Drosophila melanogaster: one gene and its partner. The protein of the gene in region 1 interacts with the protein of each later gene in a pairwise test. Each region holds a gene or a part of one and is shown in the gene's direction. Other genes may lie near its edges.

Region 1 (13,838 bases):
TTTCCGTTCGTATTGAGCGTCGTTTTGCACTGCTGATAAATGTTCACCAAGCGCTCCACGGTGTTCAGCTTGATGCGTCCGGCATAGAAGGATAACTGGGCCATGGGCACCAGATAGTAGCGCAGATAGCCACCCAGGGCATCGTAGAATGCTCTCTGCATGATGAGCCGCGTATCATCGTCTGACATTCGCTTCACGATCTGGTTAACAGTATTAAAGTACCGGAGAAGCATGTAGACAAGGCTGTCGGTGAGAAGGGATTGTGGAAAGGATTTCGGCACCAGCAGCTCGAAGTCTTTGCGTGCAGATATGATAGCAATGTCCTCCGTGGAAAAGCAATTCTTGCGGTAGTTGCCAAACAGATTGGTGCCCAGGAATGAGTCCGATTCTGTGGTACTCCTTGTCGCCTTTTGCAGCTCGTTGGGCAGATCCTTAAACCATTCATGCTCTTGGTATCTGCGCGGCGGGGAATAGGGAGGATTGGTCACCTGTTCATCGACCGTCTCGATCAGGCCATTGCGGTAATCCCGCAGCTCCGAGCTGAGCATGGATTGCAGGGTCAGTTCGTTTTGGAAATCGTTTGTGGGCACCTCCAAAGTAGCCAGGTCGATGCTGTATATGGGACAACCCCCGGGTGCCAGAAAGAAAAGCAGCCAGGAGAGCACATGAAGTTTCATTACTCAGTTAATCAGTTGTCAGTTGTTTTGAAGCAAATTTCTGCGCCGGCCGAGTCTTTAATCTGGGAACCACCGTTCCTCCATTTGCAGCCCGGGACACGGCGGAAATTGAGCGCAGTAATCTGGTGAATATCTGCAAGCTGGTGGTCAAGGAGCTGTTGGAGCAGTCGCTGCGTTATGGTCGCATGCTGGACTCGGATCACCTGCCGTTGCAGCATTTCTTCATCGTCATCGAGCATGTCCTGGGGCATGGATTGCGCCCGAAGAAGGGTCTGCTGGGACCGAGGAAGGAATTGTGGGATCTGCTGCAGAGCGTCGAGCATTACTGCCCGGAGGCGCAGGACATTACGGCGAGTGTAAGGGATCTGCCCACCGTTCGTACCCACATTGGCCGCGCTCGAGCCTGGCTGAGGATCGCTTTGATGCAAAAGAAGCTATCGGATTACCTGCAGGCACTCATCGAGCACCGGGAGGATTCACTCTTCGACTACTATGAGCCACATGCTCTGATGATGAGCGATGAGGTTAGGCTGCGCGCAATCTTCTCAAGGAATCCCTTTAACCCATCCATCTCTTCCTGCTTCAGATCGTTGTGATAATGGGCATTTTGGTGGGCTTAAACGTGATCGATTGCAATCTGTGCGTCAAGGAGGAGGATCTGGACTCACAGCAGGGCGTCATCGACTTCTCGTTGTACCTGCGTTCAAGCTCGAGAAACGCCGATGCGGCTCCAGAAGACAGTGCTCCGCCTGCTCTGCTGGATGCCACTGGGCAGGGCAACATGATTGCGGTGCTGGACCAGAAGAACTACATTGAGGAGCTCAACAGGCATCTAAAGTGGGTTTCGGCTGTTGTTATGAAGTGCCTCCCCAGCTAAGTTATTCCTCATTTTTCAGCGCCACTGTGGGCAATCTGCAGGCCAAAGTAGAGTCCTTAACGACCACAAATGCCCTGATGAAAGAGGATTTGGCAATCGCTCGGAATAGCTTGTTGGCCTTGCAGGCCGAGAACCAGGCCATGCGACAGTCCACGTCGGCAGGGGACAACAATTCAACTGGTTCGGGTGGTTCATCCGACAAGGACAAGGAGAAGGCGTCCGAAGAGCTGGTTGAGGAGCGTCGCAAGAACAGCGAGCTGGAGAAGGAGCTCAAATTGCAGGTGTCCCTCAAGGCGGAATCGGACATGGCCATGAAACTGCTGGAGAAGGATATTCACGAAAAGCAGGACACGATAGTCTCACTGCGCCGCCAGCTGGACGATATCAAGCAGATCAACCTGGAGATGTACCGAAAGCTGCAGGTGAGTAGTCATCATCAGGGTGGGTCTATTTTGGTTGGAGTCTGGGTAATCTGCATTTGATTTCCTGGGCGGACAAACAAAATGACTCATTCTCATTACACTCATTACACTGCTCACAACTCATCTATCCACATTCATTCGCTCATCTGGTTCGTAGCTCTGGTATCATTTCACTTTGTGTTTTAAGCTTTGGTTTATAGTTTAGTCATTTGCTCCAAGTAAATCGGTTTAAGCCTTCAAGTCAAAAAGTAATCCCGTCTAAAATTTAACCAGGAATGTGAAGATGAACTCACACAGAAGGGCGAGATGGTCTCGCGCCTGCAAACGAAAGCCTCACAAATTGGTAACATTTTACAATCGCTAGAAAAGAAATACGAATCGAAGCTCATCGACCAGCAACACCATGGACCAGGATCGGGATCGGGCACTGGAGCAGGAACTGGAGCTGGGAACGGAGCCATTGGCGGAGACCGATCGCCGAACACGCGGCGACAGCAGAATCTGGAAAAGTTCGAGGCGCTCACCAAGAAGCACAAACAGGACGCTGGCCCGCCCATGAAGCGTATGCATCTCAAGATGGACGCCTTTCCGCCCTTCGATCCCAGCAAGTATCGCAAGTCACCGCGCCAGCCGGATGCGCCCAACACGGAGGAACTGCAGCAGAGCAAGGATGCCAAGACGCCCACGTCCGCCAAGTCCCTGAACGATGAGCTAGCCGAGGCGGCGGCTGCGGTGACCCAGCACTTTGGGGTGGATGCATCCCAAAGCGATTATGTCCTGTGCCGCGAGCAGGCCGCCGATGGAGAAACTTAAGCTAAGCTAAGGCTAAATAAGAATACTTAAGATACTTAATTTATAAGGCCAGTTTCGGTTTTCACAGAATGAGTTCTACATAAATGTATTAACTTGTTCGTTTTTTTTTTTAATTGAAATCTAATCTGAAACTAGTTTAATATATTTACTCAATGTATTTAGTGCCTGACTGCATTTAAACCTAAGCATAAATTCATTTGTTCAACTATTATTTGGCTTTCTAAAGAGATCCTCTTTGAAATAATGATCTATGTAATGTCTGATCCAAAGATCAGTCCACTAAAGTTAGCATGTGAAAATCGGAACGGCCTGCATTGCTCTCAACATTCCAAGGACCTGGATCGCCACTCAAAGTCCGGATCCAGGTGCCGAAGGGAAATCAAACTGCTTAACAAGACTCTCAATTCGGGAGACCACAACTAAATGAACACCATAGACAGTGTGTACCATATATAGGATGCCTTTACTCCGTAGACCAGATCCTTTTAGAGGAAAGTATACCAGATACCAGAATTGTTTTGAATAACTTATGTATGCAACCTGTTAGCTAAATTATCTACCCAGAGTCCCCGTAAACAAAGATTATATATGTACGATTATATTGTAACCATACGTCGTTGTATATATGTATAGTGTGATTAAGAGGCTTCAGATGTTTATTATACATATGTATGTACGTATGGGATACCCACGCAATCGCTTATATTGTAATTATACACTCAGTCTAGTCAAATACAAATAATAATATTATTGTAATTATATACTATGAATAAATATCGAGACTATATGAATCTACAAATCCATGCAATGTACTATACGCGTTGGAACTTCTGCATATATTCTAATCCACGTACTCCTCCAAATCGAACCCAGAGAAATAAAACTTATCCGAACCTCAAGTCTTTCATTTTCCACCATACTAACATCGAGATTAAAGTTAACGACGACAGATTACAACAACGTTGGTACATCCGATTATTTTCTTCGTTGGCAGGACTGTAAGGCGTCGTTAACGCACAAAACGGAGCTGATGACCAAGTTGGAGGTCCAAAAGGAGGACATGGCCAGCACCATCGATCAGCTGGAGAAGAAGTAAGATGGCGGGGAAGGTACTGATCCGGAGCTAATTTTGTTAGCTTCTGGATCATGAAGTTACTTTCCGAATATACGCAAGATAAAGAAATCCTCATAAACCCCTGTTTTTCCCCTCCGCAGGTGGAGTCATGATAAGAGCAACCTGGGGGAGATTCTCAAGACCACGTCGCAAACACTGACCACCCAGGTGACCGCCAGTGAGGAGCGGGCTGCCCGGGCGGAGGCCGAGTCGAGGATCGAACGCGAGTGGCGGATATCGCTGCAGGAGAAGGAGCTGAAGCTAAAGGAGAAGATAGCCAATCTGCAGGGCTGCCTCAAGGAACTGTCGGAGGAGAAGGAGAGGAATGGCAAGCTGAAGGCTGATCTGGACAAGGTGCGAACGCAATGGTCGGAGGCACAAACGACACTGGAGGAGCTCGGCATCCAGCTGAGCGTGAGCAAACTAAAGGTGTCGGAGATGCAGGATCAGGAGCGTCGCCAGCGCCAGCTGCTCTCCGGCTCCGCCCAATCGCTGCAAGCCATGCCCGAGGCGGTGGGTAGTCCGGGGATCTGGGCACCGGACTCCATTGCCACCCACTGCACCGCCTGCGAGCGGGAGTTCAATCTTACGCGACGGAAGCACCACTGCCGCAGCTGCGGCGAGATTTTCTGCAAGGCCTGTTCGGAGCACACGCTGCCCCTCCTCAATGCCCAGGGTCAGCCGGGGAAACCAGTGCGTGTGTGTGACAATTGCTATGCCGCCAAATGATGATGTGCTCTGCATGCTGGACATGGGTGACTGGTTCGACTAGGAGTTGTGGGGGCGGGCGAGATTGAATATTTATAAGCAAACATCCTGTTCCATTTAATGGTAATATTGTGCTCGTATCGTATGTAATAATAATGAGATAATTGAAATATTCCTAAATTTTATTGATGTCAACCGCCCCTTCAAGAATCGCAACCTTTGACCACTTGACCTAATGATTAATACCCTTTTTGGGGATATATGTATATTATAGTACATTTATGCAGTTGTGTAAACAAATTATTAAAATTGTGTTACAAAACTTATTAAACTAAACAAACAAACGTTGGAAAATCATTCATAACTATTTAAAAACCATCGAAATGCTTTTCAAAAACACAAAACATGTTAAGACTACTGGGCAGTTTGGGTCGCTCCTGCTGCTCGTCAGCCAAATCGGGCTTCAAGATCCAGCCAAGTTGTATTTCAAAGATTTGGTTTGGTCCGATGCCCAAGGATTCGAATTGGATTAAGCCAGGTCGACTTCACTACATCGAAAACGATGTGGAGAAACAGGTGGACATTATCAAAACCATAGATGGTGTGGTCGTGATTCTGTACAACAAAGCGAGGGAAAAACTAATCTTCGTGCGTCAATTTAGGGGAGCAGTTTACCAGGGAATACATTCGGCTGGATCACCAGACATGTCCAAGGGAGAAGCTGATCTGGAGCAGTTTCCTCCCGAAGTAGGAGTCACTTTGGAACTTTGCGGTGGCGCCGTGGACAAGGACAAAAGCCTGGCGGAGATCGCCAAGGAGGAAGTCCTCGAAGAGTGCGGTTACGAGGTGCCCACCGAATCCCTGCAGCATGTCTACGACTATAGGTCGGGTATTGGTACCTCAAGTAGTGCCATGTCTCTGTTCTACTGCGAGGTGTGTGATGCTCAGAAGGTCTCGGCGGGCGGTGGCATTGGAGAAGAGCGAATCCAGGTGCTAGAAATGTCCTTGGAGGAGTCGAGGCAGCTGGTCCAAACTGGGGCGACCACCAATGGTGGACCATCCTGTTTGCTGGGTCTGCTTTGGTTCTTTCAGCACAAGGCACCCAAGGTTTTAGCTTAGCATAGTAGGGTTAAACACTTTAAATATACTAATTAGCTAATATATTAATTAATTTATTTTGCTTGTTGTAACGAACTTTTCAAATTCGAATAGTATTACCATCTGCTGCCTGGCATTAAACGTCAAAAAAAAGCTCTCCCGAGATAAAAGCTGCCATCTGATTGTGGCTACCCACCGCCGGCTGGAGCTTTCGCAGTCAGCTGATTGCCACTGCCGTGTTTTCGTGCACCAAGTCCACTTTTTCAGCATGGAGAACGTTTCCAAGATTTGGCTGGGTCCCCTGCCCCAGGATTCGCCGTACGTAAAGCCCTTCCGGCTGTACTACGTCCAGAATGGCGTGGAGAAGAACTGGGACCTGCTGAAGGTCCACGATAGTGTGGCTATTATCTTGTACAACACTTCTCGCCAGAAACTGGTCCTGGTCCGCCAGTTCCGACCCGCCGTCTACCACGGCATCATCTCCAGCGCCAAGGGCACCTTCGATGAGGTGGACCTCAAGGAGTTCCCGCCCGCCATCGGTGTCACCTTGGAACTGTGCGCCGGCATCGTGGACAAAAACAAAAGCTGGGTGGAAATCGCTCGGGAGGAAGTGGTCGAGGAGTGTGGCTACGATGTGCCCGTGGAACGCATTGAGGAAGTCATGGTCTACAGGTAAATGGGTGTGCATATATTGTTATATAAATAGAATAGAATATACAATTTTAAATATCTTAATTGATTTTTCAAAATCCATCCTTCACAACTTGCTTGATGCATAACCAACTCAATCCTTTGCAGATCTGGAGTTGGTTCATCGGGTGCCAAGCAGACCATGTACTACTGCGAGGTGACCGATGCGGACAAGGCCACAGGTGGTGGCGGCGTCGACGACGAGATCATCGAGGTGGTGGAGCTGTCCCTGGAGGAGGCCAAGCGGATGATCCAACAGGGAGCCGTCAACAACAGCCCGCCCAGCTGCCTGATGGGCCTGATGTGGTTCTTCGCCAACAGGGCACCCGGTGCGAAGGCCTAGAGGCGAACGCTGTTGCTGTTGATTCACCCAGATAAGCGGCGGCCGTGATAAGATGATAAGATGATAAGATGCGTCCGCATCCGCAGCGTTGCCTTATACACATCTTTTAGTCAACACCAACCATTTCGAATGCTTTCCAACCGAGCGCATTGTGAGTGCGCCTAGCGCACACGATATAATACTGAAATTCCCGTGCCTGTCGAGGCTTACCTTATGATATGTATACCGTGTAATATGTAATAAACCCTGGCCAGCTGTCCGCTCATGAATTCGGTCAAGACGTCTCTCCCACTTCCATCTCAGCTGCGAGTTCCACTCCCACCGCGGCTGCCAAGTGCATAAATCGCCTATAAATCAAAATGCCGCAAGACGCTGCTGCCGCAGAAGCTCCAAACGGGTTCCGCTTTTCTCCGATCTAAACCTATCCGATCCGATGCGATGCGATGGGATGGGACCTGGTACTGTGGAGGACCCATACCCATACCCATACCCATCTCATCCCATCCGCAGCGAAGCGAAGCTGTGTGCCGTTTTTGGGCCCCTGTCGGGCAGCGTGTTGCTGGGATCAGGTTACTTATTTATACACGGCCAGGGACTTTAGCTTCCATGAACGCTCCTGGTACTCCTGATCACAGAGAAAGAAATATCGCGCCGCTAGGAAATCATCCTTATATCTATCTATACATTCATTCGTTCATTCATTCAATTTATTAGCTTAAAATGATATTATTTTGTCTTTTTGTCTTATTGCTTGATATTATAGTTTGTAAAATCCATTGTAAAGGCAGGAAATATGAATCATCACTTTCCAAGATGATATATTTCTATATATATACTTTCTAGTTGTTACTGATATATACAATACTTTTGTATTTTCATTTATCACGCAATTATTTACCGTGCACCAGCATCTATCCATCCTCCAGCCTCGGATCCATCCTCCATTTCCATCCATCCCGGTTCAGCGGTCATGGCGAGTGGCGGCGTGGAAATTTATTTACCCCAGAGCCATGATTTGGCAATATTTCAACATTGTAATAGAATTTCTTTTGGCCTATTCAGACTTGACTTCCTTTTCGGCGGATCTCCCCTGCTCCAACGCAATGGTCCCTGTACCATATACCCCTGCTCCAGCTCCAGCTTCAGCTCCGACTCCATCTCCCAAATCCCCTCCTGCATCCTTCGCATGTACGTGCATTCGATTTGCCGCTGATAATCAAGGCCGGTTCTTTGTTGTTGTCTGCTGTTCGCTTGCGTGTTAACCTCATGTAAATTATGGACTCGAGGCGGAGGAGCCGTCGGCAGCGGAGTCAACAAAAATGCGAGTGTTGAAATTATATTTAATTTGCATATGTTGGCGGACGACCGGGCTGTCCAGGAGTCCCCTTAGGGGAATCGAGGATGCAAATGAGTTGAGGGAGTTCCACGTGGATCAGGTGTAATGTCGACAACAGGAATTTGTCACGAAAGCAGTCGCTCTCAAACTGTTGCCACAGTGGCTCTACAAAGGTTGAGGTTTGTGAAGGACTGAACTGGTTATGGAAAATGAAATGAAGAAGAATTATGAATTATGGGTCTAACATATTTCGCTTCTTTAATTCAATGTATAATTTATATTTTTTTATGAAAACCAAATTTAGACTGTGTTGTTCATTTCAGTTCCCTTGAAACCTCCAATGAATGAAAGCGCGTCTCCTTTGCACTAATTTAATGGCCGTTGCGTATTCCAGAGCGATTTCTTTTGATTTGTCTGGCGACAGTTTCGCCGGCAGCAGGCCATTACGGCTGCAGCTATCGCCGCTGCGTTTGCAGCAGATGCTGCTTCAGTTGCAGTTACAGTTGCAGTTGCTTCCTCATCGTACTGAAACCCATCTGTCGCCTGTCACCTGCTGCCGTTTGAAGTGGTCGCTGTTGCTCCCCAAGGTGCAAATCGAAGTCATCACACAAACTGATTGCCTTTACACTCAGAAAAATATCAGTATAAATATAAATTAGTATATGCTTGAAATGTATGCAGACAAATCAGAAAAATGTATAAGAAAGAGAACCCACTTTAAATTATTTAAACACAATAATGTATAAATTTAAATGCTATCTCGTTTCAAATAATTCGTAGTTATTTTCCGTGTGACTTTACCTTTTGGCTTTGCTCAGTTGCGCAAGTCCGAAGTACAGAATTGCAATTATTTCATAATCACGTCCCAATTTATGTGCTGCCGGAGCAGCCGGAGCGGCGATAGCCCAGAGATTGCCATTTCGAATCAAAGCGTCTTTCTATTCCTGCGCACCCAACTGACCTCCAGTGGCTGGGGGGCTATAGCTTTGCAGCTCTGGCCCCTGAGAATCCAATCCCAATCGTAAAATGGCGTCCGCACATGGTCGGGGCATGGTCGGATCTGGGGGGGCGGTGGGGAGACCGCTCAGTTCTGGGATGGGATGGGAAGACGGAAGATCAAGAAATCGCGATCATGGCTCGGTTTCCAGTGCGCATGCGAAAATTAAGTGCAGCCAGCAACAATCATAACAACAACAGCAAAATTACCTGTAAAACAGTTATGGTTTTTGTTGTTTCTGCTGCCGCTGCTGCTGTGGAGCAATAATGAAATTTTTTATCGGATTTGATTATAAGTTGCCCAGCTACAGCCCGGCCACCCCGCCGTCGTAATCTGCCAATAAGAAGAAAAGTAAGCGAGGTAGGTACACTGGGAATAATAGTTCGAAAACAACCACTTTATATTCTATAGAAAAGTTTCTAGTACTAAGGTATCACATGATGTCTCATAATCATGTTCCTTTTTGGTTTATTCTCTTCAAGGCAAGTGAGTAGCATTTTCTTTCAGTGTTCCGTACTGGTAGCTGCCTAGCAGGGAATGGAATTGGGTTGGCCATTGGCGGGGATTCGGAGGAAACTATGTAGCCGCCGCTCATTGATTCCGCCTACCGTCCATTGGCCGTTGTCCGTCGTGATGCACTTTAATGAAATGAAATCTTATACTATCATGAGGCACATGAACTGTAAAGCCGAAGCTGTAGCTGAATCTGCAGCCAAAACCAAAACCAAAGACTCCGAACTGCAGTCCGCGGCCGCAGCTTTGCCCACTCAAAATGTATAATTATCTGGCGGTTTTATCCGTTTGCCAATATTAAATTTCTCATCACGCCCAGAGAGAGGAAAATGCAGTTGCAGTGGCTGCTCCCGAAGCTGCCGCTTCACCTGGGATTCGTTCTTGTCGGTGCCTACAGGTGGGTGGGGTAGGGTAGCAGGAGGCATCGGAGGAGCTGCGGAGCGAAAGGAGGTGGGGAGGGATGTCCCGCTTCATGGGCACGGGCGCCGTCAAACAATTAATAAAAGGCCAAATGTCTGCAATGAAATTTATGCGGCTGCCTTTGCCATCGAGTTATATATAGGCTTCGGATTTCGGCCCGAAGTTTTGCTTTTCCGCTCCTGACGCGCCAGTGGCCAAAAGGAAAAGGCTCCGTTGGCGGCTTTACCGTTGCACTGTTCCATGGACTTTCTAAAATCGATGCCACCAGCTTGGGGGTCGAGGGCTTCTTGGGGCGTTGTTCCTGCACCTTGCTCTCTGGTCGCCGAGATCCGGAGATATGTGCTCCGCAAGGTGCGGCATCCGACAGATTGGGCACAAGAACTGCCACAAATGTGTGTCAAGTGGCTACACAATGCCTGAAAACAATACAACAGGCGAACATAATTATGGTTATTAACAGCGAATCAGTTTAGAATTAATAATTATTGAAGTTCGTTTTTGCACAGCAGTGGAAATAGCTAGTTCGTGTTTTAAGTCTTTTGATTTCGCCATGAGAAACGAAATTAGCTCAGTGCCATACAAAATACACAGAGCAATGATTGAATGTTTTTTTGCGTAATTAAACTATTGCTTTAACTATTTATCCAATTTGAATTATTTTATTATTTTTTGCCAGATTTATTTTTCTCACAAGAGCAGCCTTAACATTAATCGCCACTCCGCTAACCTTTAAATATTGATCCATTTCCCAGCCTCACTAAGAAATTCGGCACTGTGGTTGGCCCCTTGCACGTGTTGTCATTTTAATTGCCTGCCAAGTGCGAAGAAATATTTTTGGCCAAATGCGTATAATTGAAATTAAGTCATAAATGGTTAAAAATGCCGACCGAGCGCGGCATATTGGACATGGCTAGCAAATACTAATGAAGCCCGGCCAAGTCGGCCCAGATGGCGAAAAAATTTCACACTCTTTGCCTTGATTTATGACACTCCGACATAGCACATAACACACCACGGACAACTTCCGTGCAAGGAAACCCGTCGTCCAGTGGCTCCAAAACCGCCACACCTGCCCAACTGATTGATTTGCAGGCCTTTTGCACTCGAAGCCAACTTTAATTACGCGCACTTTTTGGCCTCCTCAAGTTACCAAGCTCTCTTTGTCTCGATCCATTCTCTGTTTCTCCAATGATTTCTCTTGGCCTGCTCTTAAATGGGTTACCTCTTTTGCCGTCGAAAACTCTCTTAGCCACTCGTTAGAGCCGACTTAGATGTGTGCTCCGCCCCCTTGGAGCGCAATTCGAGAAACCACAAACCGCAGGCCGCCAAAAAAAACCACAAAGAAAGTGCCAAAATGGGGCGATACGAATTAACTTTGCCGTTGGGCTTTAATTAGTTGTTTTAGTTAAACTGGCAGCCACGTTGAGTGACTCATCTGCTGCTATCTGTGTGGTCCGAAATGTGGATGTAAATTCACAAGGACTGGAACTTAATTAGCAATGATTATTCAGACATTTCTGCCGTATTAACCATTTAAACCTATTCCCTATATTGTTTTCATTTTCTAGTCTATATTAAATTATTACTGAAAAGCATTCCTTTTTCATAAGATATATCTACATCGAGATTTAGATGATTCGGAAACCTTCTTTTTTTTTTGGGTAGAATTTCGTTCGAATAAGTCACGTGAGCATTTAAAGGGTTAACAAGAAGGAGCGACCACACAATTAAAAATCATTTGCATATCAAACAATAAAACAAGCAATCCAACGAGAAGCCCACCAGATACAGATACATCGATGACTAAGGACGGCCAGACTGGGAAGTCGGCAAGGGAAAAGTGAAACTTGGCCTGATCTGGCTGATAAGCCGGAGGGAAGGCCGCCTGCACGGACACACACACACACACACACACACCGAAGTAATGGCGCATTAAAAGTCAAAGTCAAAATCAACAAAGCACCGAGATGGCCTAAACAAGATCCTGATAAGGAACCAATACCAATCATGATGATGGCAAGATGCGGTCCGCGGATCGGGGATTCGGGTATTCGGGCAGCTGCCACCGGCGACGTCCGGCGATCCGGTGATTCGGCGGCGATCTCGACGACAACGTTGACCGCAACAACTTTGTTGCCGCTTGCCAGTTGTTGAACTTAACGCGAAATCTTTCTGTCTGGGAAATTAACTACAGTGAAGCCTTATTCTCAATCAAAAAACATCTTTATAATGAATGGTCAATCAGAGTTTTACTTATAAATCGAAATTCAGATCAATTTTATTTAGGCCAAATCTCAAGAATATCATACAACACATAGAGTTCAACTCGCCTTGGTTCCACTGTCTATAAAAATCTCAGGAAAAAAAAGAGTGTATCTTCTAAACGGCAGCACATTTCGCCAGGGGCCAACTTCCACTGGCAAGAAGTCTGTAAATGTCTGAGACTTCGTATGCATTTTGAAGGAGTCGAGTTGATCCGAGGTGAGCTGAGCTGAACGGACAGCGATCGTTGTTTCTGGTCGGTTTGGCTGGGTTATCTGATTTTAATTAAACGGCATCGCATAATAAATTATCTTCATTAGGGTTGAATCGCTGCGATGGGAGCCTCATGCCGAAGCCGAAACCGAAATCAAACAGAATCGAGTTGGAGTCTGGAGCCTGACGAAATATTCGAGCAATCGACTGGCGGAGCGATCAACCCCTTACTTACTACCACACTCCTGGCCGCCCGGACATCTCCTCCCAACCCCCATTCCTATGTGGCCATAAATCAAAACAAGCCCATCCACTGATGCATTGCGTGTGTTCCACTCCTAGTCGCTCCCCTTTCGGCCATCGATCCGCCGTGGACTCATGTTCATTAATGAAAAACCGGACCAACTGTCAAACAGAATCTGCAAATCATTCGACGCGACGGCTGTGCGCCGTTGACAGTTGGAAAAGCGCTGCCGCCGAGTCCGGGAAAAATCAACACATGCTTAGATAATAAAAAAAAAATGGTTAAATAAAAAAACCTGAAGTAAAAAGTGAACTCGATTGTGTGGCTAATTGGTGTCAGTCGAAGACTGAATGTGCTTTCAATTCAAGAACTTAATAAACTTAATAAAGCCAGGAATAATTTATATTAAATCTGAAATATGATATATGGGATATATGATATTCTAATGCCAAATAGAATTCTAAGTACTATAAATAGTATTTTGTTATAAAAACATCTTGTCTTAAATATTTTGTACCTCAGAGATTTTGAAATGGAAAATGTATTTCTTATCGCAGATTTCTAGTGTTATTGTTATAACAAATAATTTGTACAAATCATGTTTTGACATTACTTCTCTGAATAGTCACGTCAAATGAGTGGTTAACAGGCGTAATCTTCTAGATCGCATATCTTTCCGTGAAAGAGTGCTTACGATACCGGCAAGCTGATCTAACCCCGCGATGAGAGTATCTGAGGGTATGTGGAATCAATCGGGAGAAGATTTAACTGGAAGTGGAGCACAAACCGGTTGCACATGGTCAACTGATTGACGAGTTGCGTACCTCAAATGTGCAGCTAACACGCACACAGGTGCGTGCCCCTCGAGGAGCATCCAAGTGTGGATGTGTGGGTATTTTATTTATTTATTTTTTTTCAGCTTTTTGTTTATTTCCTTGCGATCATCAATAATGCCAGCCAAAGGAAGCGCATGTACATGTCCGTGTAGCGCTTAATGATCTTGAAATCGAAGTTGCATTAGCATTGAATGTGCGCATGCGCAGCAGTCGCAAAATGTTTCAATTATTTGTGGGCATTGGAGAGAGATAAAGCAGCGACCAGCAACAAATTA
Region 2 (17,861 bases), on another chromosome or scaffold:
GAAAGAACTTTAATCTGAAAGAAAGGAACTTTATACATATAGAATCTATAGAAGTATGTGCAATTAAGTGAGCTAAAACTATACCTTAAACCTTGTAAAAATCGAGCCTTCACTTGAATCCTTCAGTCGACGAGAGCAGTGGATTCAGGTGGAGTTAGGAACATCCCCAACATCCATGTGCCCCAATCCCATCAGCTACGATTATGGCCGTACTTTTAACTAAGCAAATCGATGGAAATTTATATCTCGCCTCACGCCCCCCCTAGCATAAATGGCAAACGCGCATTGCAAATGAAGAGCGAACGATCTTTATATACATACATATAAACACACACACACACACGCCCAAACACATATTATAATTAGTGATTGATATAATGTGAACGCAAACATCTGTGTGCGTTTGTCGTGGATTCGCATACGGAAGCGGGAGAATGCTTTTAAAAGGCAAAAAAAAAAGTTAAATAAACTAATTACGAACCCTTCTTCGAACGCCCAGCCCCGCCCCGCCCCGCCACAACACTCACATATAAACTTGGCATATTATAATATTGATATAAGCAAACAAAAAACAACAAGCGAAATGATAAGAAACCCACTATTTTAAATCGAAAGCAAAGTAAATGAAAAACAAAATAGCATAAGTGAATGTAATTGCAATGGAATGATGCAAATATACATAAAATATATATTTAATTTTAAAATCTATGTGACACTCTTTCCATTTCCTCGTTTTGGGTAATTATTCGCATTCAAAAGAAGGGTTTTTAAATAACTTTGTTTTGTTTTTGAAATTGGGAAAATACTATGGTGAACCCAAGTTGTTCAGTTTACATTTCCCGTTGCTCAAACTTATTTACCAATTATTATATCATGGTCAAATATTCTTAGAACGAACGGATGACTTAATTAATGATAATAATAATTTTGAATCAAATTTAAAGCGCTAACGGTTCGGCGAAGTGATATCGATAACACGCGCGGCGTTGCCACCTCACGCCACACAATTTGACTTTTGCGCTAACGGAAGAGGAAGAGATCGCGAGAAACGACGCGTTTAAAAGAGACTGAAATTAATTCGAGAATCAAGGGAAATATATAACAATAAACGCCTGACAAAATGCTGAGATCGTCGGTGCCCGTGCAGCTGACAAAACTGCGAAATAGCGCCGAGGCCGTGGCGTCCATTGCCCGCGAAAAGGGATCCCAAGGTGGCCAAGGACAAAAGCAACAGGTGGACAAAGAGCTATCCACCATCATGGATGACTTGCAGCGGGATTACGGGAATTACAAGTACACGGTATACCGGTGCGCCAGTAAATTTGTGGCGCTGCAAAAGATATTTCACAGTGAGTCAGTCGCGTAGGTGGTCCATTCGAAGGAGTCCCCAAGGATTAACCTTCAAATTGCAGCTGGAAAAATCCCCTACAAGCTGGTTTTGGCCATTTTGGATCGCCATAACTTGAGTGGTGGCCTGGAACTGATGGTTCCTCCATTCCAGTTGACCTCCCTGCTGCACGATGTATACTTTGCCTGCGAGAAACTAGGCCATTTCAACCAGGATGCGAACTATAAACTGGACAGGGCAACCGGGCTGTTGGCCAACTTCTTCTGGAATGTCTACGATCCGTGGGTTGAGTTTCTGGCATCTTAAGAATATGTCTGATATTTGATTGGTTTCGCTAGGCAACGCAGACACTCCATATCCCTGTTAGAGATCAGGATCACCTTCATACTGCTGTGCAAGCTATATAGCAGCGATCACCTGGTGGGCGACATCTTTGGCCTGCTGGCCGATCCCAAGTCGCAGATCATCTCCAGATATGCATTCGAACAGCTCCTAGCCACGCTGAGCAAGTTACTCAGCTATTTGGGCGAGGCCAAGGCCTATGGCGTCCACAATCTTCCGTTGGCTATGGAGCAGTGCTTTGCCCGCTGTCCGCATGGCGTTGGTGGACTGACCGAGCCGCAGTTCCACAAACTCTGGACGGGAGCGGGTGTCCAGACGAGATTCCTGATCTATGGCAATCTGCTGGCACTGGTGAAACGCATCGAGGACACCGAGCATTTGATTCACAGTAATTCTTGTGCCGGCTGCCGCAAGGAGCACATTGTGGGCATACGTTTCCGGTGTCAGGTGTGTAGGGATATATCGTTGTGCCTGCCCTGCTTTGCAGTGGGCTTCGCTGGTGGTCGCCACGAGCCGGGTCATCGGATGTGCGAGGTCTTCGTGGAGGATCAGCCGCCATTGCGTTGGACCCGCCACCTGGCCAGGCTGTGCGGCTGGCTGGTGATGCCGCGCAAAACACAGGAGGAGGAGCGTCGCGGCTTCTGTAATGCGCAGGAGAGTGGGCCCGCCTTGGGTCAATCCGCTGCCACGCCCATTCCCGCAGAGACGCGCAGTGTGCGCAGTCAGTGCCAGGAGAAGGACCGCACAGTTGTCCTGCAGCAACAGCAGCAGGAGCTCTGCTCCCTGACGGGTCTAGCCAGCGAGGCGTCCAGCAGGCTGCAGTCCATCATCGATCGATTGCTTTTGCAAAATGCGTGGGTGTTTTCCCTTCTTTCGCCACACTTGTTAGCCAAGCCTTAAGGTTCTCTTGCATTTCAGGAAGCTGGAAACCCAGCTGCAAACAGTGGCCACCGCATCTAGTTCGGAAATATCGCAGTTTCTGAGCGCCCATCAGTGCTTTCTGCTGCAGATTATCGAGGATATGCGACAGCTATCAGTGAGTTTTCCAAACATTCGGCCCATTTAAGCTGAGCTAACTCCATTTATATACACTTGCAGCATGCCTCAGCGGTAACTTCGCCGCCACCTGCGCCAGCTGCCCAAGTGGCGCCTTCAGCTGCGCCCCTAGTCAGCTCCACGTTCCTTAGCTCCAGCACGCCTCAGCGACAGATGCTATTCGACATGTATGCGCCCGTGGGTGCCAATCTCACGCACTCCAGTAAGAAGAGAACCTTCAACAGAGCCATGAGACAGCTCCACTAAGTTAATCGTTTCTTGTAGTAAATGGCGCCGACTTGAATCGCAGCTATCTGGAGGCAAACAAATCGGATTACTCGCTCAACGACATAAGCTTGTGGTTCGACCAGCGTCGCTCGAGTGTCCAGCCAGGACAAGGACCTGGTTCCCTGCCGGCTCCTCTGCCGCTGCCCATGCCGCTGGGTGCTCTACTGGAACAGCAGCCGGCAAACGGCGGAGATGGCCGCGACACCGAGATGGTGAACTTTAAGCTGCTGCTGCACAAGGTCAAGGAGATCGTCGAGGACTCGTACAGCGATAATGCCGAACTGTCGGCGGCCACGCAAAATCTGGAGAACGTTCTCGATAGCATCATCAAGAGCGAGGAGCAGCAGCGGCGCATCAGCACGTGAGGATCCGGATCGGATACCAACTCCCATCGATTCCAGCCAGACCAAGTCCACTTAGCTTTAAGTTGTAAAGTTGTTCTAAAGTAATCGTGACAAAATGACACAACCGAGTCATGCATTTATTATATCCTTCTTCCTTTTCCCATGTGCTTTAACATTCGCGTAAATGCTTTAATTTGTAAACTTACAACTCTGACAAGAATGCAATACAACAAAATGTTTTTATAAAAATATACAATGCAAAAAACACATTGTTAACAAAGCATTTACATACAAAATATCAACTTTGTAGATTTTCCAATGCAAAGAGAAGAAAAAAAAAACGCATTTACGCCCCATTGTCATCATCATCATCGGTGAATAGCATAGAAGCCAACACATCGCTGGCCATTTGTGCCTTGTGGAGCTGCGTCAGCTGCTCCCGGCGCTGCTCCACACTGGCTGCCGGCTCACTCAAAACCTTCCAGGCGTCCATCTCCTCGAACAGACTGTTTAGCAACTCCATCTCCATGTCGGCAGGCGACATGTTGTGCTCAGCGACCTCTAGCACATTGAGGTTGCAGTGCAGCTGGAGGAGATCGCGCGTCAGGCGATGCAGTAGCAGACGCAATCGATCGTCCGTTCTGGCGTACACATGCCAATGCTTTCCGGGATCGTCGCGAAGCAGCAAGGTGTCACACCACTGTGACTGCGGCTGGCGATTGTAGAAAATACGCTGGACAGGATCGGCGGCGATGTTGGAAGACTGAAAGTGAGACCCAGGCTCACTGTCGTCCAGCAAGTCGGAAGCTGTAAGGGATTATGAGTTAAAAGGGACAACAAGTGGTCTTGACAAAGCTACTCACTCGGCTCCTTGTTTGCTTCCTGGGCTTGGATCAACTGAAACTGCAGCGTGGAGACGAGTAGCTGCTCGAATGTCGTGCAATCCTGGGCCGACTGGAACTCCAATTTCAGGGAGCAACGTGCCGTGTGCGTCATAATAACGGCCAAAAAGTCTTGGTGCAGCGTGGCGGGCGAAAATGTGGGTGCCAACGATTCTGTTTTATCGAGCAGTTTCTTCACATCGAAGGTAATGAGATGGATTTGCCTAGGGGATGCATCCTCGCCCATCTCGTACGTTGCCATCAATATGAGTTTCTCTGCCTCAAGAAGATCGACCAGACGCAGGCTCACTACCATCGCGGCAGATCGTTCCGGCGGTAGTATTCTTTCCTTCTCCACCGGTCGCCATTTGAGACGCCTGCTATGCTGATCCTGGCAGGCCCAAAACTGCGCCAGCTGGTCGTAGTCCTCGGGTGGTTGGCCATCCGCCTGCAGAGGCAGCTCGTACAGGCGGTGCTCCACGCTAAAGTCGGTGTGTGGTTCGATTACAACAATCGGATACAACTCCTTGACTATGGTGAGGCGATTGGTGCCAGTTATGTTGACTAGCAGAGTGCCACAAACAAAATAATCGCCGCAGATCCGAGTCCATACATCGCCGAGTCGTCGGAGCGGCTGCTTCTCCTCAAGGAGCAGCGAACGCTGGCCCGGCGTGCCGAAGTATAGAAGGTCTTGGACGTGGGCTAATTCCTTCTGGTTTTGCATTCGCTGGCTGTCGAGCTCGGCTTGGGCGCGGTGCACCTCCTGCAGCAGGTTCTCGAAATCCTTCGCGGGCAAGCCCGCATTTTTGGACGTGCTGGGCTCCTCATTTAAGAAATCCTCCTGGAAATCACAACGCTGACGCTTGCCATTGCCGAACTCCAGTTCCACAACGGCCTGGAAGGAAATGGGACCTTCGACCATCTGGTAGTCCACCACATCCTTGTGATCCGCCACCAGTTCGAAGTTGGCCCCGTGATCCTTGGGCCTCTTTAGGACGACGAGATGCTTCCAGCACTGAATTAACAGGTAGATGCCCTCCCGTTGCCACACAAACTTTCCAAATTTGAGGGGCAAATCCTCCGGCGGATCCAGCATGCTCCAGTCCACCTTTTCGTCAGTGGGTTCCTGCTTGGACAGAAAGGGACAAACCGGTCCGTCGTAGGCCTCCAGTTGGGTGGCTATTTGCTTTAGTTTCGTGACCTTCAAATCGATGTAGTGCACCAGATCCTTGCGCCGGAATTCGTAGAACTTTAGGTTTCTCGCTAAAACCAATGTAGTGGGGTCATCCCGCGGTCGGCCCACGTGAAGATTGGCGCAGAAGGCCAACCGGGCCGGCTGGAGCAGCATCTCCGGCACATTCTCCTGGACAAACGGCAGCATGGATGCGGAAGCCACAAGATGGATGTGGCGCCCTTGACTCGAAAGCCCTTCGAATCGATAGCTATTGAATTCAAGTAGTAGTTATCGATGCGGTGAACGATATTAGGCTATTTTGAAATGGAAAAACCAATATTAATCGAGTTTCGAATGCTCCTTTTAGCGAGAGGTAAGTCTTTAACACCGCATAAACACAATCAGTGTTGCCTAACCAATCTGTGCCCTCCACTTTCTCTCATAATCAAGCAATTTCTCATAAAAAACGCACATCGATAAGCTGATAACGTTGGCCCTCGACTAACACCGATTATTCAACAAGTTGTGTCAATCGGCGGAGCAGCTGATCGTTGTAAGTAGCAAGAAGAAGACGCCACACAAACATTGCACTCCGCTCCGCCCGCGCGTTCTCATTTCCCATCTCTCTCACTCTGTCTCTCGCGCTCACCGTCTCTCTCTCTCGCTCCGCCTCGCAACCCCCACAGCGCTCCACAAACCGGGCCCCACATTCTTGTGTGTGATTTCTGGTTCAGGTTCTGATTTCCCGCGTGTCCTTGTGTGTGTGCGCGCTGCAGTGTCTGTGTATCTGTTACTGTTGCTGCATCTTCTGCATCAACTGCAACGTTACCAAAAATCAAAAGACAATCGCCTGCAAAAGCTTAATTTTGTTGCTCAGTGTTTTAAGTATTAGCTGTTTGCAAGCAGCACACACACGTAAGAAACAACAAGAACAACGATAAAAGACAACAACACAAATGCAGAGCATTTGAAGCGCAAACACACACAAGCATTCGGTGCGGCTGTAAGAGCGAGACACAAAATAAGGCTAATTTATAAAAGAAAAGTGTGCTGCAAGGAATCGATAAATAACGGGAGTCGAGGAGCGGAATAGGAGTAACCAATAAATATAAATACTGTAAATGCGATATTAAAAAGCGACAACAACAACAAAAAGCAGCTGTGAATCACTCCGTCCCGCTCCCCCGCGCTTTCAGTCACTCCAGTTGCTCCACTTCCATATATATTCGGATTTGGACTCCGATTCGGATACGGATTTCGCTTGGTTCGATTCTGTTTTCTTCGGATCGGTTTAGCTTTGCTTGCCAACTCGAAATCCCACAAACATGGTGAGTACTGGCAGATTATTGCCGCCGTTTTCGAGTTGTTTTGGCCAAAAGCGGCAGTGGCAACCAAACAGCAACACCCACACACCACACACACACGTACAGTGCAAGCTTCTTGGCCAGGTTTTGAGCTCCTCCATCGCCGCAGTTCCAATCCGAACTTCGTGGTAAACAGTTGTCCGCTGAAAACGCAGTGCAGCCTCCGCGTGAAGAACGCTCTGAATATACGGTTTCAAAGTCCTAAGAGGTTGTTTATATGAGTCTAAGTACAGCTACAAGATATATTTAAGCTATGCTTTTCGAAACTATCGTGTAGTTGTTCCAAATACAGTGAAACCTCAATGTTCGGTTTTTGAAGTTAAAAAGAAATATAAACATATATTTGAAGTTTACAAACTGTACAGTATTAATTTGAGCAATAAACCCAACAGTCCAGATTTGAAGTTTTTTTGACATGTTTCAAATTTTTAATATTCTAGCATAGTGTAACGTAAAACATGATTAAATGTTTAGCAACAGCAAAAAAACTACATTTTTGCAAATAGTAAACAAAATTTTAAGCAGTTAACCGAAAAAGTTACAGACCATAGATGTTACGCGATATTTGGATACAGGTTTTAATCCAGATTAGTTGCAATCCAGATTCCTAAAGTCCTATGTCAATCGCCGTAATCTTCGATTGAAAAAGGCCGAGAGTTGCTTTTTTATGTGGTAACATTGGTAAAATCTTTCATGCCATTCCACATATGGTTGTTTGGAAAGGGTTAGGTAACTGGATTCTTGAGCACTTGTCTCACCCCAGTGGGCAATCAAATTCGCCTGTGGGAGCAGCACTGGCGATCCATCTGTGCATGAATCCCCGCCAGAAGCTGCGTTGTGTGTCTACCTAGCGGGAAATGCTTACTAAAGATTTAAATTCGTTTTCGCAGAGCCCGCCCATCGTCACGCGACGGAGTGCGCAGCAGGCAAAGATTCAGACACGGGCAATGGCCAGTAAATCGAAGACGGGCACGACAGGGGCGGCGACGGCGGCCGGCGGCACCGGCAGCAGCAGCGGCAGTATCAGCGGCGGATTTAATGCCGCCGATCCGCGAAAGTCGAACAAACCGAACGCAGCGCTCTTGGAGGCGAAACGTCGAGCTCGGAACAACATGCTCAAGAATCAGGGCTGCGGATCGCAGGAGAGCGTCACGGATATATTCCAGAATGTGAGTGCTATCTGACTGACCTCTATCCTCTGTCCTTGTGCAATCCTAACCAAGTGATATTTAATCGTCGCCGACGAAAAGGCTGTCAACAGCAAGAGTCTGGTGCGGAAACCAACGGCACTGATCTACGATGAGTCCATGAGCCAGCACTGTTGCCTGTGGGACAAGGAGCACTACGAGTGTCCCGAGCGCTTCACACGAGTCCTGGAACGGTGAGTATATTTGAAGAAAACGGTACAAATTAAGCTGATATGTATTCCCTAATCTCCTCATCCAGCTGTCGCGAACTAAATCTGACGGAGCGCTGCCTGGAGTTGCCCTCGAGATCGGCGACCAAGGATGAAATTCTGCGCCTGCACACAGAGGAGCACTTCGAGCGGCTGAAGGAGACGTCCGGGATTCGCGATGACGAGCGCATGGAGGAGCTGAGCTCCCGCTACGATTCAATTTACATTCATCCGGTGAGCAAGCGCATCCAACGGGGAACATGGAACAGTGCATCCCAGTGCCTGGCTCCAAATTAGCTCATTTTATTGTATTTGCACTTGATTGCTTGCGGAGATTGCGTTGTTTTTAATTCGACGGCTTGATAAATGCAAATTGGAGCAGATTAGATTAGATGCGACCCATTGCACAGGTACAGTGCGGTGCATAAATGTAAATGGTTGAGTGACTGGCATAAATTATGCAAATGATTATACCTCCGAACTTAAAATGCATTTATTCCCCGATTGTAATTCTAATATGTCTATTCTTGTTGTGATATTCATTATCTTTATATTGCGTGCAATCTTTATTTAGTTTGCTCAAACTTTAGTTATTAATTATTACGACTGCCCGCAGCTTTTATTACTTTATATTTCATTAGCTAAATCCTCCAGCAATCTGAAGCGCACTGTAAATTCGTTAAAATGGGCTGGTACTCATACTATTACATCCTAGATAAGATTCCCGCTGTTTTACTAGCACCGAACTTGTTATATATAGAACACTGATAACCTTATCCGCCTCCCACCCGCAGTCCACATTCGAGCTCTCCCTGCTGGCCAGCGGCTCCACCATCGAATTGGTGGACCATCTGGTCGCCGGAAAGGCGCAGAATGGCATGGCCATCATCCGGCCACCGGGTCACCATGCGATGAAGGCCGAGTACAACGGTTATTGCTTCTTCAACAACGTGGCACTGGCCACCCAGCACGCCCTCGATGTTCACAAGCTGCAGCGCATCCTGATCATCGACTACGATGTGCATCATGGGCAGGGAACCCAGCGGTTCTTCTACAACGATCCCAGGTAAAGTTGGCAATATATGTTTAGTATTCTCATTCATCGTGTGTGTGTTTCAGGGTGGTTTACTTCTCCATCCATCGCTTCGAGCACGGAAGCTTCTGGCCGCATCTGCACGAGTCGGATTACCACGCCATTGGATCGGGAGCGGGCACGGGATACAACTTCAATGTGCCGTTGAATGCGACGGGTATGACCAATGGCGATTACCTGGCCATTTTCCAGCAGCTGCTGCTGCCGGTGGCCCTGGAATTCCAGCCGGAGCTGATCATCGTTTCGGCTGGCTATGATGCGGCGCTGGGCTGTCCGGAGGGTGAGATGGAGGTGACGCCGGCCTGCTATCCGCACCTGCTGAATCCGCTGCTGCGACTGGCCGATGCCCGGGTGGCCGTCGTTCTGGAGGGCGGCTACTGCCTGGACTCGCTGGCCGAGGGTGCGGCCCTAACCCTGCGCTCCCTGCTCGGCGATCCTTGTCCGCCGCTGGTGGAGACAGTGCCACTGCCGCGTGCGGAACTCGCCCAGGCCCTGCTCAGCTGCATTGCCGTGCACCGACCCCACTGGCGATGTCTGCAGCTCCAGCAGACCTACGATTGCGTCGAATTGCAGGATCGGGATAAGGAAGAGGATCTGCACACGGTACTGCGCCATTGGATTGGTGGACCACCGCCTATGGATCGTTACCCTACGCGCGATACGGCCATTCCGCTGCCGCCGGAAAAGCTGACCAGCAATGCCGCTCGTCTGCAGGTGCTGCGCGCGGAGACGAAGCTATCGGTGCCGTCGTTTAAGGTGTGTTATGCCTACGATGCCCAAATGCTTCTGCACTGCAATCTCAATGATACGGGGCATCCGGAGCAGCCGTCGCGCATCCAGCACATCCACAAGATGCACGACGACTACGGTCTGCTGAAGCAGATGAAGCAACTGTCCCCCAGGGCGGCCACCACAGACGAGGTGTGCCTGGCCCACACTCGCGCCCATGTGAATACAGTGCGTCGATTGCTGGGCCGCGAGCCGAAGGAACTGCATGACGCTGCTGGGATCTACAACTCGGTGTATCTGCATCCGCGCACCTTCGATTGCGCCACCCTGGCCGCCGGTTTAGTGCTGCAGGCGGTGGACAGTGTGCTGCGTGGCGAGTCCCGCAGCGGCATCTGCAACGTCCGTCCGCCGGGCCATCATGCCGAGCAGGATCATCCGCACGGCTTCTGCATTTTCAACAATGTGGCCATTGCGGCGCAGTATGCCATTCGGGATTTCGGTCTGGAGCGTGTGCTGATCGTCGACTGGGACGTCCATCACGGCAATGGGACGCAGCACATTTTCGAGTCCAATCCCAAGGTGCTCTACATCAGCTTACATCGCTACGAGCACGGCTCCTTCTTCCCGAAGGGACCCGATGGCAATTTCGATGTGGTGGGCAAGGGAGCCGGCAGGGGCTTCAATGTGAACATACCCTGGAACAAGGTGGGTTTTTGCACACTTACGGGCCCAACTCATTCCACTCACTTTGCAGAAGGGCATGGGTGACCTGGAGTACGCACTGGCCTTCCAGCAGCTGATCATGCCCATTGCGTACGAGTTCAATCCGCAGCTGGTGTTGGTATCCGCCGGATTCGATGCTGCCATCGGCGATCCCTTGGGCGGATGCAAGGTGACGGCCGAGGGCTACGGCATGCTCACCCACTGGCTGTCGGCTTTGGCCAGCGGCCGGATAATCGTTTGCCTGGAAGGTGGCTACAATGTGAACTCCATTTCGTACGCGATGACCATGTGCACCAAGACGCTGCTGGGTGATCCCGTGCCGACGCCCCAGCTGGGAGCCACGGCGCTGCAGAAGCCACCAACGGTGGCCTTCCAGAGCTGTGTGGAATCGCTGCAGCAGTGCCTGCAGGTGCAGCGCAACCACTGGCGCTCGCTGGAGTTCGTCGGACGGCGGCTGCCGCGGGATCCCGTTGTGGGCGAGAACAACAACGAGGATTTTCTTACCGCCTCCTTGCGACACTTGAATATCTCAAATGACGATGCTACGGCTGCGGCGGGCGGACTCGCCGGCGATCGTCCCGACTGCGGCGATGAGCGGCCCAGCGGGAGCAAGCCCAAAGTCAAGGTAAAAACGCTCAGCGACTACTTGGCGGAGAACAAGGAGGTACGAGGACAGCACTGCGCTTATCCCTCAGCTGGCAACTAATCGCTTCTTTTCGTGCCTTTCTTCATCTCGATCCCATGCCCTGCAATCTCTGCCCCTCGATCCCGTTCCCGATCCCCATTCGCGTGTCAGGCCCTCGAGCAGAGTGAGATGTTCGCCGTGTATCCGCTCAAGACGTGTCCGCACTTGAGGCTCCTACGTCCGGAGGAGGCGCCCCGATGTAAGCCAATGCAGTCCGGAGAAGATTCCCTCCCCTTTTGGTCAAGATAATAGCACTTCTTAAGTGTGAACAAGTTGTCAAGAAAAATTCAGTTATTGAATCTCTTTGTATCTTTGTATTTGTATGCTGTGACCCATAAAAATAATTGGAAAAATGGTTTTATGACTCAAGTTAAGTCTTCAATAACGTATTTAACATTTTATATAAATGGGGAAGTTGTTTGAAATGCATATAGTGAAATACCCTATAAATCTGAAAAAATCGGGAAATACTTTACAGGAAGTGCTATTATTTTGACCAATTTTAAGGACTCTTCTTTCTTATAATGTTCATCGTTTTCTTTGCTTTTTGTGCTTAAAATTAGCAATTGGCTATTTTTCTAAATTACTTATAACTGCTTAATGGTTTATGTGCATATGGCATGCAATCTTTTTGTGCTTGGCGGCTGTTTTTTCTTTCAGTATCCTTGCGTTTATTGCATTTTTTGAAAAGGTTTTTTGCTTCAATCCTTACGTTTTAGCAATGTAACTTTGGGTTTTAACCAAAAATCTGCCGTGTGATTTGCTTTTATCTAACTTTATCTTAGTTTAAAACTTTAGAACATTTGATATATCGCCTGCATGTGAACAGCTTCTTGAGCTATACGCTACTCAATCCTGACACAACTAACATACTTTCTCAACGATTTCCCATCCAAATCAGCACTAGACAGCGGAGCGGAGTGCAGCGTTTGCGGATCGACGGGGGAGAACTGGGTGTGCCTGAGCTGCAGGCATGTGGCCTGCGGTCGCTATGTGAACGCCCACATGGAGCAGCATTCAGTGGAGGAGCAGCATCCGCTGGCGATGAGCACGGCTGACCTGTCTGTGTGGTGCTACGCGTGCTCCGCGTACGTGGACCATCCCCGCCTGTATGCCTACCTCAATCCGCTGCACGAGGACAAGTTCCAGGAACCGATGGCCTGGACACATGGGTGTGCGTGGCGCGAGGATGGCTGCTATGCGACGGGGCCCGATGGGCGAGATGAGGATGACGATGATGATAATGGCGCCGGTAGCAGCATTTGCCTGCGACTGGAGCGCAACAACTGACCCTTAGCCATCCGCGTGCTGGACGCCCTCACGGACTACTTGTGCGCGCTCTGCCCGCCACTAAGGCACCTAATCCATTTCCTGGCCGAGCACCTCTGGCCGCTGCTGGAGCGCATTTACCTTAACCTGTTGCACTACTTCCTGGCCCACTGAGCACCCCATATCCAATCCTCTAGCCCGCACCCACAACTGATCTGAAAACTGCTGCAACTGGCAGCCGGTCGGTCATCCCCTGGAGATCCTGGCACCAGTCACCATACCATTTATACAAATGCAAATTGTTAAAGTTATCAACTAATGATCTAATAAATAATTCAAGTGTTTTTTGAGTTTATTTTCGAATACAGTTTCTAGTTTCGTTAATGAGATCGAACTTCTTAAGTTCAGAGGTATTTATTCATAATTCTGTTCATCCCAGCCAAATCGACAGTTCATCCACGGTTTTATTTAATCTATATTTCTAGATTAACTCAATATTTGTTGAGTCATAACGTTGGCTACTAAAAATTACTTCTTTTTCTGCTGCTTTGCCTTCCCCTTAGAAGCTGGAGTGGGTTGCTGCTCGCGCTTCATTGGCTTCCTCTTCCGGTGGCCGTGATCACTGGAGACATCGCTGTCGCTGTCGGAGAAGTCGTCGTTCTCCTTGTCTTCCGATGAGTTGCTTTCTTCTGAGGATTCCTCGTCTTTCTTGTTCTTCTTCTTTTCCTTCTTCTTCTCGGCATCCAGTTTCTTATCCTGCTCGTACTCGATGGTCACGAATCCCCGAGGTGCTGCCGGCTTGGCACTTTGGTCAGACTCCACTTTCGCCTTTGGTTTCTCCTCCACTTTGGTGCGTTGTTCCACCGGTCGGACGTTGCCGAACTGGCGGAGATCCAGCAGGCCCAAGTCGGTGGGTCGGCAGTCCATGAAGCTGCGGGCAATCTCCTCCAGCTTGCGCGTTTCCATGTCGATCTTCCAGACTTTGATTTGACCAGCGCTGGAAAAGATAAATTTGTATATATAAAAACGAATAATGTGATGGGTGTTCTTAGTTATCTGGGTGTAGCTTGGATTTTTATAGAATAACTCACATGGAGACGGTGGCCAGGAATTCGTTCAGATAGGCGATGGCCTTGACCCTTACCTCGTGTGCAAGAATGAAGGTGGGCTGCAAAGAAAGCGCATTTAAGTATCATAGATAACAGGCTGAGAAAGTGCAATTCTTACTGGTGTATCATCCTCGTCCTTGAGGGAAATCCAGGCAATGTTGCCGTTGTCCAGGCCAGTTAAACACTCGTTCCCATCCAGCCAGGTGATGCAAATGGGTTTCGACGGCATCTCAATGCGACGCATAACATGGGCGTTCTCGATGCCCCAGATCTCCAGAACCAATGGACCGCTCAGTGTGAAGTGATCGCCCTGCTTGGACCACGACAAACAGCCCGTTTGGAAATCCAGCGTAGCCTTGTTCTTTAAATTGGTCTTGTGGGCGACGCAGCCATTGACCAGATTCCAGGTGTTCAGCACCTGGTCGCCGCCCAAAGATAAGGCCAACTTGCTGCTGGGATGGCAACTGACATGGGTGACGGCCTGGCCGGCATGGGCCTTCTGCCAATCATACTCTTTGGTCCAGCTGCCCACGCGTGTGGCGATCATATGGCCATCATCGCTCCCGGAGAGCAAGAGCGACAGGTCAGGCGTGAATTTCAGTGTGTTCACTCTTCCGGCGTGCGAGAGTATGATCTGCGACTGTTTCCGCGTGCGCATGTCGTAGACGAAGATCCTGCCGTCGGTACCGCCACTGGCCACCCAAGGCCACTGCACGGCCAGCGATGTAATGGATCTTGCATAGGAGCTGTCTGCAAAAGTCTGTTTCAGCTCGAATTTGACGGAATCGGTGAAGCCGTCAGTCGGCGATTTGATGAGCTTGAAGCCCAGCAGGAGCTCCTCGTTGGTGGCCTCTATGATCTCCATTTCCGGCGGCATGGCAGCGGTTTGAAATGAAAATGGAAATGGAAAATTAAATGGATTTGTCGAATAAGTCACTAAATTCTATTCAAGAATTTATTTCTGCTGTCAAAACGTGTTCCAGCGGCAAGGACTATTCGAAGTTAGAGGCGGAGAAACTTTTTACGCCAACATCGATGACATCGATGTTTTCGAAATATCAGAAACATCGATGTTTTTCTAGGAATGTTAAGAACAATTGCTGGAGGATGAAAAGGTTGTCACCAAATACTGCCTTTTTATTTAAAATATTAAAAAATAATCCTTAAATAAAAAAGATCAATGATCGAAAAAGATTAAAGATAAAAAAGATTGTTTATATTTTATAACAACATCTATGTTTTTCGCCAAAAACATCGAAACATATAAATAATTTGAAAAATGGTTTTATGTCTCATGTTATATATTCAATATCGTATTTACTATTTTATTTAAACGGGAAAGTTGTTTGAAATGCAAATAGTGAAATACCCTATAAATCTGAAAAAAATCAGGAAATACTTTACAGGAAGTGCTATTATTTTGACCAATTTGCTTAATGATTTATGTGCATTTAGTATCTTGTGTTTATTGAGTTTTTTGAAAAGTATTTTTATTGAATCCTTACTGAATTGAAATCCATGCGAAAATTACGTTTTAGCAATGTATCTTCGGGTTTTAACCAAAAATCTGCCGTGTGATTTGCTTTTATCTAACTTTATCTTAGTTCAAAACAGTAGAACATTTAATATATTACCAGCACCAGTCACCCTACCATTTACACAAATGCAAATTGTTTAACAATTTCAACTAATGATCTAATAATTAATTTAAGTGTTTTTTTTAGTTTTTTTTTTCAAAAACAGTTTCTAGTTTCGTTAATGAGATCGAACTTCTTAAGTTCAGAGGTATTTATTCATAATTCTGTTCATCCCAGCCAAATCGACAGTTCATCTATGGTTTTTTTATCTATATCTCTAGATTAACTCAATATTTATTGATAGTCATAACGTTAGCTACTAAAAACTACTTCTTTTTCTGCTGCTTTGCCTTCCCCTTGGAGGCTGGAGTGGGTTGCTGCTTGCGCTTCATTGGCTTCCTCTTCCGGTGGCCGTGATCACTGGAGACATCGCTGTCGCTGTCGGAGAAGTCGTCGCTCTCCTTTTCTTCCGATGAGTTGCTTTCTTCTGAGGATTCCTCGGCTTTCTGTTGCGCCTTCTTTGCCTGTATCTTGTTCTTCTTCCCCTTTCCCTTCTTCTTCTCGGCATCCAGATTCTTATCCTGCTCGTACTCGATGGTCACGAATCCCCGAGGTGCTGCAGGCTTGGCACTTTGGTCAGACTCCACTTTCGCCTTTGGTTTCTCCTCCACTTTAATGCGTTGTTCCACCGGTTGGACATTGCCGAACTGGCGGAGATCCAGCAGGCCCAAGTCGGTGGGTCGGCAGTCCATGAAGCTGCTGGCAATCTCCTCCAGCTTGCGCGTTTCCATGTCGATCTTCCAGACTTTGATTTCACCAGCGCTGGAAAAGATAAATTTGTATATATAAAAACGAATAATGTGATGGGTGTTCTTAGTTATCTGGGTGTAGCTTGGATTTTTATAGAATAACTCACCTGGAGACGGTGGCCAGTAATTCGTTCAGATAGGCGATGGCCTTGACCCTTGCCTCGTGTGCAAGAATGAAGGTGGGCTGCAAAGAAAGCGCATTTAAGTATCATAGATAACAGGCTGAGAAAGTGCAATTCTTACTGGTGTATCATCCTCGTCCTTGAGGGAAATCCAGGCAATGTTGCCGTTGTCCAGGCCAGTTAAACACTCGTTCCCATCCAGCCAGGTGATGCAAATGGGTTTCGCCGGCATCTCAATGCGACGCATAACATGAGCGTTCTCGATGCCCCAGATCTCCAGAACCAATGGACCGCTAAGTGTGAAGTGATCGCCCTGCTTGGACCACGACAAGCAGCCCGGTTGGAGACCCAGCGTAGCCTTGTTCTTTAAATTGGTCTTGTAGGCGACGCGGCCATTGACCAGATTCCAGGTGTTCAGCACCTGGTCGCCGCCCAAAGATAAGGCCAACTTGCTGCTGGGATGGCAACTGATGTGGGTGACGGCCTGTCCGGCATGGGCCTTCTGCCAATCACCCTCTTTGGTCCAGCTGCCCACGCGTGTGGCGATCATATGGCCATCGTCGCTCCCGGAGAGCAAGTGCGACAGGTCAGGTGTGAATTTCAGTGTGTTCACTCTTCCGGCGTGCGAGAGTATGATCTGCGACTGTTTCCGCGTGCGCATGTCGTAGACGAAGATCCTGTCGTCGGTACCGCCACTGGCCACCCAAGGCCACTGCACGGCCACCGATGTAATGGATCCTGCATGGGAGCTGTCTGCAAAAGTCTGTTTCAGCTCAAATTTGACGGAATCGGTCAAGCCGTCAGTCGGCGATTTGATGAGCTTGAAGCCCAGCAGGACCTCCTCGTAGGTGCCCACTATGATCTCCATTTCCGGCGGCATGGCAGCGGTTTGAAATGAAAATGGAAATGGAAAATTAAATGGATTTGTCGAATAAGTCACTAAATTCTATTCAAGAATTTGTTTCTGCTGGCAAAACGTGTTCCAACGACAACGACTATTCAAAGTTAGAGGCGGAAAAACATTTTAGGCCAACATCGATGTCTTCGAAATATCAGAAACATCGATGTTTTCGGTGAATCAGCGATGTTTTTTCATCTCTATTGCTCATCGGAGAATAAAAGCGTATAAATTGTAAGTATAAATTAATTTTTATATATTCTAATACAATTATTAATGGCGTATTGCAAATTTAATGTGACTTGTTGGCTGGCGTCGTGGCTGTATAAATGTATTAGTCTCGTTCACTTTTCCATTGAATTGCATTATTTGGTATGATTTCCAATATGTATGTTTATATATGTTTTCTAAGAACAATTACTGGACCAGCGAAAAATGGGAAGGTGGACACCAAACGCAGCATACTGCAATATTAAAAAAGAAAATTATCTTTTAATCCTTAAAATATCCTTAGATAAAAATAGATTAAAGATAAAAAAGATAGTTTATATTTTATAACAACAACGATGTTTCTCGCCAAAAACATCGAAAACATCGATGTTCGCCAACAGTCTGCTTGCAGTCACTAGCAGTGACGGACCGCACCGTAACAGAGCTGTTAATGCTGTAATCGAT

The links.
Region 2: the proteins of CG42813 (region 1) and HDAC6 interact in a two-hybrid assay, tested with the Drosophila melanogaster proteins (one large-scale study listed by BioGRID).

The regions. Positions count from the first base shown.
Region 1 is NT_033777.3:27,220,611-27,234,448, reverse strand, and holds CG42813 (uncharacterized protein), read left to right. Parts: upstream 1-5,887; 5' UTR 5,888-5,977; coding exon 5,978-6,381; intron 6,382-6,507; coding exon 6,508-6,742; 3' UTR 6,743-7,379; downstream 7,380-13,838. Other genes in the region: CG31068 (uncharacterized protein), read right to left, coding at 1-677; CG31064 (uncharacterized protein), read left to right, coding at 768-1,201, 1,264-1,514, 1,574-1,976, 3,784-3,881, 4,005-4,632; CG42814 (uncharacterized protein), read left to right, coding at 5,017-5,730.
Region 2 is NC_004354.4:15,327,324-15,345,184, forward strand, and holds HDAC6 (histone deacetylase 6), read left to right. Parts: upstream 1-7,154; 5' UTR 7,155-7,327; coding exon of another isoform or gene 7,328-7,351; 5' UTR 7,352-7,633; coding exon 7,634-7,945; exon of another isoform or gene 7,946-8,026; coding exon 8,027-8,157; exon of another isoform or gene 8,158-8,222; coding exon 8,223-8,406; exon of another isoform or gene 8,407-8,648; intron 8,649-8,966; coding exon 8,967-9,238; intron 9,239-9,291; coding exon 9,292-10,699; intron 10,700-10,748; coding exon 10,749-11,381; intron 11,382-11,513; coding exon 11,514-11,601; coding exon of another isoform or gene 11,602-11,651; exon of another isoform or gene 11,652-11,769; intron 11,770-12,303; coding exon 12,304-12,692; coding exon of another isoform or gene 12,693-12,845; 3' UTR 12,846-13,037; downstream 13,038-17,861. Other genes in the region: dah (discontinuous actin hexagon), read left to right, coding at 1,121-1,349, 1,413-1,629, 1,687-2,544, 2,609-2,726, 2,789-2,948, 3,011-3,378; CG9114 (uncharacterized protein), read right to left, coding at 3,704-4,164, 4,221-5,619; CG9123 (uncharacterized protein), read right to left, coding at 13,200-13,668, 13,763-13,839, 13,899-14,657; CG12608 (uncharacterized protein), read right to left, coding at 15,684-16,179, 16,274-16,350, 16,410-17,168.